Macaca mulatta: one gene and its partner. The protein of the gene in region 2 binds, or shares a complex with, the protein of the main gene of each other region. Links are inferred from orthologs where the notes say so. Each region holds a gene or a part of one and is shown on either strand. Other genes may lie near its edges.

What was found.
Region 1: the proteins of UBL4A (region 2) and BAG6 are in contact, whole or in part, in a crystal structure (PDB 4X86), measured with the Homo sapiens proteins. The link is inferred for Macaca mulatta from reciprocal best matches to the Homo sapiens genes UBL4A and BAG6. Residues at the interface, in NP_055050.1 of Homo sapiens: Val95, Leu98, Ile99, Val102, Leu103, Arg105, His106, Phe107, Ser108, Asp111, Arg114, Val115, Gln118, Leu119, Asp122, Tyr123, Glu124, Ser126, Leu127, Ser128, Leu130, Ile135, Leu138, Arg141, Phe142; in NP_001092004.1 of Homo sapiens: Gly1052, Pro1053, Leu1055, Leu1057, Ala1060, Val1061, Ala1064, Ala1065, Ala1067, Ala1068, Ala1070, Arg1071, Pro1072, Leu1073, Thr1074, Ser1078, Leu1079, Asp1082, Leu1083, Glu1087, Val1088, Ser1091, Tyr1092, Gln1095, Leu1096, Asp1099, Ile1100, Arg1103, Leu1104.

Annotation. Positions count from the first base shown.
Region 1 is NC_133409.1:150,681,142-150,683,743, reverse strand, and holds part of BAG6 (large proline-rich protein BAG6), read right to left. Parts: intron 2,404-2,602; coding exon 2,112-2,403; intron 1,946-2,111; coding exon 1,776-1,945; intron 1,593-1,775; coding exon 1,539-1,592; intron 1,433-1,538; coding exon 1,330-1,432; intron 1,239-1,329; coding exon 1,114-1,238; intron 949-1,113; coding exon 802-948; intron 402-801; coding exon 342-401; intron 1-341. UniProt on the Homo sapiens protein: ATP-independent molecular chaperone preventing the aggregation of misfolded and hydrophobic patches-containing proteins.
Region 2 is NC_133426.1:160,668,696-160,673,144, forward strand, and holds UBL4A (ubiquitin-like protein 4A), read right to left. Parts: upstream 3,052-4,449; 5' UTR 3,044-3,051; coding exon 2,996-3,043; intron 2,793-2,995; coding exon 2,687-2,792; intron 2,439-2,686; coding exon 2,230-2,438; intron 2,112-2,229; coding exon 2,001-2,111; 3' UTR 199-2,000; downstream 1-198. Other genes in the region: SLC10A3 (P3 protein), read right to left, coding at 3,970-4,449. UniProt on the Homo sapiens protein: As part of a cytosolic protein quality control complex, the BAG6/BAT3 complex, maintains misfolded and hydrophobic patches-containing proteins in a soluble state and participates in their proper delivery to the endoplasmic reticulum or alternatively can promote their sorting to the proteasome where they undergo degradation.

The DNA of each region.
Region 1 (2,602 bases), on a different chromosome or scaffold from region 2:
CTGTCGCCCAGGCTGGAGTGCAGTGGCCGAATCTCAGCTCACTGCAAGCTCCGCCTCCCGGGTTTACGCCATTCTCCTGCCTCAGCCTCCCGAGTAGCTGGGATTACAGGTGCCCACCACCTCGCCCGGCTAGTTTTTTTGTCTTTTTTTTAGTAGAGACGGGGTTTCACTGTGTTCGCCAGGATGGTCTTGATCTCCTGACCTCGTGATCTGCCCGTCTCGGCCTCCCAAAGTGCTGGGATTACAGGCTTGAGCCACCGCGCCGGCCACCTCCAAACCTTTCTCCCCCAGCCCTCCACTCCACATTATCTGGCCCCTCAACCTCCCCCTCTCCCGAGTACCTGAGGCTCAGGGGAAGCTCTTTCTGCTCCCTGAACTTCCATTGGCTCCTCAGGAAGAGGCTGTGAAATTAAAGAACAACATATTTTGGCTGGGCACGGTGGCTCACGCCTGTAATCCCAGCACTTTGGGAGGCCGAGGCGGGCGGATCACGAGGTCAGGAGATCGAGACCATCCTGGCTAACACGATGAAACCCCATCTCTACTAAAAATAAAAAAAAAAAAAATTAACCGGACGAGGTGGTGGACGCCTGTAGTCCCAGCTACTCGGGAGGCTGAGGCAGGAGAATGGCGTGAACCCGGGAGGTGGAGCTTGCAGTGAGCCGAGATCGTGCCACTGCACTCCAGCCTGGGCAACAGAGCTAGACTCTGTCTCAATAAAAAAAAACAACAACATATTTCCTCTCAGATCTCTCCAGTTCTCTCAAGTACCCTGACCCCACTGCCCAACAGGTCCCTTACCTGGGGGGGATCACCAACCCTGCGAACGTATCTGAGAATGGCATCAGGACCTACGGGCATGTGCTCCAGTACCACCTGAAGCCTCAGTCCCATCATAGTGGTCAGCCAGCTCACCAAGGAGGGATTCACCCCGCGAGACATACGACGCTGAGGGGCAGAAAGCAGATTTAGAACATAAAACCCTCAACCACCTTTCCTAATATATTAGATCTGGGGTATAGAACATCAGTTTAGAAAACAAAAATGAAAACTGCAGCGAATGGAAACCTCAGGAAACAAAAGGCTAAGGACCTGGGGCTAGGTGGTGCTTACAATTCGGCCATTGATAACAGCAGCAAGCTCCATCTGCTGTCCCCCCAAGCAATGCAGGTTCAGGGCCAGGCATTCAAACAGGCCTTGGTTACACAACTCCAGCAACCGGGCCCCAAATCCACTATCTGTGGGCAAAACACAATGAGGGAATGCTGGCACATGGCAGCCCTGCACATCCAACAGGCCCCACTTGCCCCAGCCTGGCCAGCCACTGACCTGTGCAATGCAGCACATGAGCAGCAATGCTATTAAACTGCTCTTGGAGAAATTCCAGGTTTGTCCGGATGATGTCCACACCTGGCTGAACCTGCACCAAGGACTGAGAGACAAGATACACAAAAACAGGAATCGTAAGACTGGGAACGGAGGAGGCAGCTGCCTTGACCAGACCCAGGAGAGGAGGGGAATAGAGAAGGGTTACTCACAAAACTCTCCCGCACATACTCTTCTAGACCCGTGATCAATGTGTGGGTTGCCATCTGCGGAGGAAACAGAACAGGTTTAGTTCAAAGCCTCGGTCCTCCCAAGACTTCCACCTTGACCCCAACAAGTCCAGGGCTTGTGTGGGGGCAATTGGAGCTTTACCTGGCAGAGAAGCAGTCAGAAACAAGGAATAAAATGTGCAAAGGAGGAGAGCTCTGGGGCCCCTGGCCTTCATTTACCCGGATGTTACTGGGGGTGGGCTCCTGACCACCCAGGTAGTGTTGGTGGAAGAAGGATCGCAGCTGGGGTTGCAGCCGTTGTAGTGGCTGAAAATGCCCATGGAGAAGCATCACTACGTCCACCATAGAGAAGTTCTGGCACAGAAGAGAGAGCAGGGCCCCAAAGAATCCTGGAGGACAGGGGCAGATGTTAGCAATCGCCTTTACCACCTGGCTTGCCCACCCACAACCAGGTGTCAACCTCATCCCACCTTGGCAACACCCCTAAACCAAGGCCATCTACCTTCCTCTGGCTGCCCCTTCCTGGAGCAAGCCAAAGCACCCCCTTTTGCTCACCAAGGGCCCCATCAGCTCCAGGCTCAAAGATGTTGCTGGATCCACTGAGGCGTTGTATGAAGGCAGCAATACTTTCACTGCTGCCAGCCCGAGCCCCCAAGGAGCCCAGCAGGGAGCTCAGCACACCCTGCACCACTGAGGTAAAAAACTCCGGTGATAGGCTCTCAAGGCCCAGGCCTCCAGGACTCCCTGCCCCACCAGAAGGGGAGCTTGGTGGGGGCATGGTCTGCTGCTCTGGGGCAGGTTGTGGGGGTGGAGGAGGTGGGGGTGGTGGAGGGGCTGTCTGTGTTGCCTGGCAAATAGAAAAGGAACAAAGAACAGAAGGTTGAGGTGAGAATGCAGATAGGGAAATAATACGGCATCAAGAGGGCACAAACATATGGGTCTGGGAAGATGGAGAGTTACATTCTGATCTTCACTGCTTAGAGCAGAAATATGGTAGGTATTTAACAGAGTCAGGCAGCACAACTACCTACCTCTTCCTCTGAACA
Region 2 (4,449 bases):
TTCCCCTGTAGTGGACAGCTGCCATTTGCTGCCACCATTGAGGACATCCATTCATCCAGCCCTCCCCCAGAGCCTTCTGTCCCTTGCACAGCCCATGTGTGTCCAGGGAAGTGACCCCATGCCTAGCTCCAGGGAGCCAGCCCTGATGGATAATCACCCCCTACCCCGGCCAAAATGATTGGACGCACAATCCAGTTCCGACCAACAAGGGTGTTTATTTGCTGGAGGCATCTGAGACAGCAGAGGTGCTACAGAGAAGGTGCTGCTCTGGCAGTGAGGCAGTGAGGGAGGGATTCTGTGGAAGCTGCAGGCAGCCACCTTTTCATCCTTGGAGGTGGTGGCCTGGGATGTGGCAGACACAAACGCAGAGGGAGGCAGGAAGACACTGGAAGAATTGCTCCCCTGCTGCCAATGCCGATACCACTGGGCTTTTCACTTTCATAAGCCAAGAAATTTCCGTTACTGATTAAACAAATTGCCTTTATTGTTAAACCAATGATTGGATATCAGAAACAGCCTAGCTAATATAGCTCCTTTTGGATAAAAGTGGAAGTCTCACATTCACCTTTAATGTTATTTCATTTTCCAAAATCAATTTCCTGGCACCACGCAAACAAGAGCACTGGTAAATGTATCACCTGAGCTGCAGGCCACCCATGCTCACAAGTGTGTCCCTGCCATAGGTGGCTTTGAAGCCATATACATGGCTCTCCAGCTCTCGTGGGGGGCCAGGGGCTTCTGTGTGCTCTTCAAAGCCTTCACCCATTGGGCCTCTGTCCATCTTTCCAGCCCGGGGACCCAATATTTGCCCCATCAGGCCCAGGCAGGAGGGCCTCCAGCACGTGCAGCCCCGACCACACTGTGAGCGGCTCACTTGGCAAGGGTGGAGGGCCCAGAGTGGCGTCCTCCTGCTGTGGCTTCCTTCTAGCCTCTACCACCCCTGGGGGCCTCCAAGGAGCAGGTGGCTAGATGTCCTCTTGTGCCCATGCACAGGGCACAGTGGAGAAGGAACCGGAACCCAGCCCATGTTTCTGTCCCCACCCTGGCACCCCAAGGTTTCCTCTCAGGCAACAAGGAGCACACGAAGTGAGCGGCTGTACACAGGTGGCTGATGTGTTCATCTTCCACAGGGAGGCGAGTGCTGGGGACGAGGACAAAGGCCTATGCCCAGCCCCAGTTCTGACATTGCCTTGCTGAGTCACCCATCAGCCCTAACGCTTCCTGGAGGAGACAAGCAGACAGGGTGCCCAGAGAGGAGCTGTGTCACTAAGGGCCAGGACACCCCATCTCTGGGTCACACTTGGCCACTGCTTCGCTTTTGGCTTCAGTTTGTTTACTGAACAGAAGGGAGGGGGGCACTGTGAGACGAAGGACACTGACTCAGGTCGGGGAGTGGCCCTCACTGTATAAAGTCCGTGGCTGGGGACCAAAGTGGCACTGAGACTCCCCCGAAGTCACATCACAGAGCTGGGGTGACTTGCTGACTCCCTGGCCCCAACCTGCTTTTTCATTTGTCGAAAGCACACTGGCTGCAGCAGCTGCTGGGGGTGTGGTGGTTCCAGGGCTGGCTGTCACTTGGCCTCCTGCAGAGGTAAGCTGAAGGCTATGTTGGACCCGCCAGAGGTCAGGTGACAGCTGCTTTCCCTTTCAGGATTGGGAAGGAGTCACCTGAGGGTATATTCTCAGTGGGCTAAACATGACATGCCAGAGCCCAGCTCTCCAAGCAGCCCCTTCCTCCTTCTCACACCAAGGCACTTTCAGAAGCCGCTGGATTCCGACTGGGGCTCCGCCACTTCACCGCCAGTGCCTCTGCTGTGCTGGCTCACCTCTTCTGAGGGTGTGGAAGCAAACCCAGGTCAAGCTGTGAGGAGTGCCTAGCACGTGGCCAGAGCCAGGTACATGCCAGCTATTATTATGAGCCCAACTGCAACAGGTGAACACACTTAGTGTGACATGCTGCTGTGGCCTGGCACTGGGCACCTCCCCATGCTCCGAGAATGCTATTTGGAGAAGCCTTTCTCCATCGTCTCAGTCACTTCAGGGTGCAGGAAGCGGCTGGCCAACCGTTCGATGTCGTCCAGCGTCAGGCGGCTCAGGGACCTCTCGTAATCCTGGGGAGAGAAGGGCAGGAAGATTCAGGGGCTGCCAGTGGGGAGCCATACACTGCAACAGAGGTAGGGGCTGGGAGGAACTGGGCCTGGAGAGGATACCCAGGGTTACCCTTCTCACCCTCTGTAGCTGTTCCAGGACCCTGCTGGCATCTGCCGCACTGAAGTGGCGGGCCAAGACTTTGGAGATTAGCTGCCAGACATGCGGGGGTGGGGAGTCGGCCAGCCTCTGGGCCTCGCCTTCTTCTAGTAGCACCTTCTGCAGGGGTTTGACCACTAGGTTGAGCTTGGAGTTGGGCCCGATGCTATAATCCGAGAGTCGTTTCCCATCTGCCAAAGACAGATCGATGGGTTCCTCCTCCTCCGCCGCCGTGGGGGTGGCCCGGGACGCGAGACCGCCTCGGGCGGCGGGAGCGGAGCGCTGCGGCATCCGGCAGTGAGGCATGCGGCCGCCTCCCTTGGGGTCATGTGGCGCTTGGCGCCGGCACCCCAACCCGTTACACGGCTGCCGGCCTCGGCCCGCGCACCCCAGTCCCGCTTCCTGCGGGGCTCCCTGGGCGTCTCCTCTCCCTGGGTACCTGCCAGGGCCTTGCCCTTGAAAAGCAGCCGTTGCTGGCGCACGGGGACGTTCAGCTTCTCGGAGACCAGCTGCTTCAGCGTGGACACCAGCTCGTCCTCCGGCACCTGGCCGCGCGGAGGGTGGGAGGCAAGGGTTGAGGCCGCGGTCCCCAGGCGGCGAAGCCCACGCGTCCGCTCCCGAGGGCAGCTCTCCCGGCTCCCAGTCCCCGGCCCGGCCGCCCCGTGCCCGCCCTTGGCCCTGCTGGTCACCCTGCCAGGAGCCGGCGAGAGAGCGCGCCGGACCCGGCCGCCCGGCCCGGGGACCCTACCTGCAGGCTGCACTCCCGGCCCTGCAGCGCCTTCACCGTCAGCTGCATGGCGGTCGCGACGGCGTCCACTCGGGCCGGCGCGCACCCCAACCACCCCCCGCCGCGCGCCGCCGCCCCGGGCGCGCGCTGGAACCGCCCGCCGCCGCCGGAAGCAGCGAGAGGGGCGCGCCCGCCGCCCGCGCTTCCCGGCCCCGCCCTCCTGCCTCGTCCACGCCCCGGCCCCGCCCCCCGGCCCAGTTGCACCCCGGGAGGAGTGCCCCTGGGGTCCCGCCTAGCACACGCGCAGCGACCGCCCTGGCCGGCGGACCCCTCCCAAAGCAACAGCGCCGGGGAGTTGGGAGCAGGAACTAGTCGGGCCAGGTTGGCGTCATCTGGGAGCTAGGGAATGGAGAAGGAAGGACCAGAAGGTACGCTCGCCCCCGCAGACTGCCTGGACCACCCCACGCGCCGTTACTGCTGGCGGAACCTGGCCCTGCATACCCACAGACGGCGCCCCCCCCGCCGGCTCCCTGCCTGGTGGCTTTCTGGCTCCTCCTTTCTGGTCTGGCTGCGAAACACCCCACTGAGCTTGAGAGGGGGTAGGGGGGCCAGCCTCTGCCCTCATCCTCCCACCTCTCCTACAGTGGGGACACGCCCCGGGAGGGCTGATAGAGAAAGCCTATGCAGGGGTCACCGTGTCACCCAAGCTGGCCCTCCACCCTGGTCCACACCTACCCAGCACACTCTTTCTACCCCCACGCCCAGGCCCCAAAGGGCAAAGATTAGAAGGGACCCAAGCTTGCTTCTCTGTTTTATTGAAATATATTTTCTGGGCAGCGCCCACCTACCTAACTCAGCATGGCCTCTGTGGCACTGAAAGCTGGAGAATAAAAAATCAGTAAAAAAAATAAGCCTGGATTTTTCTGAGTGCATAGTGCATGAGAACTTTGGTGGAGTGTGGGGGCTGGGGCTGATGAAAGCTTGACCCAGAGGCCTCAGGAAACTGGGAACAGGCTACTGTAGATGCAGTGGCCAATGACCAAGGCCAGCATCTCGGAGGTGCCGCTCAGCGCCACAATGAAGGGGGCCTGGGAGGCATAGTCAGCTTGAAGGCGGCGGAGGGATAGCTGCAGCATGGCCAAGGCCAGCAGGCTGTTCTGCACCCCTACCTCAATGCTGACCGTCCGCCGCTGGGCCACAGGCAGCTTCAGACATGTGGCCAGGCAGTAGCCCACCAACAGGCCAACCAGGGGCACTGTGATACCCACCAGTACGATAGGTAGCCGGACGCCTGCCAGGATGAAGACCCCCATGCGATAGGCCAGGAAAAGGCCGCCCAGGAGGAGCACAAAGCTGAAGGGCTTGATGACCTGCAGCAGCAGCTGGGAGAACTTGGGGAGCTTGGACTTGATCAGCACGCCCACTGCTATGGGGATGGCGATGAACAGCAGGGTGCCCAGGATTTTGGAGATGGG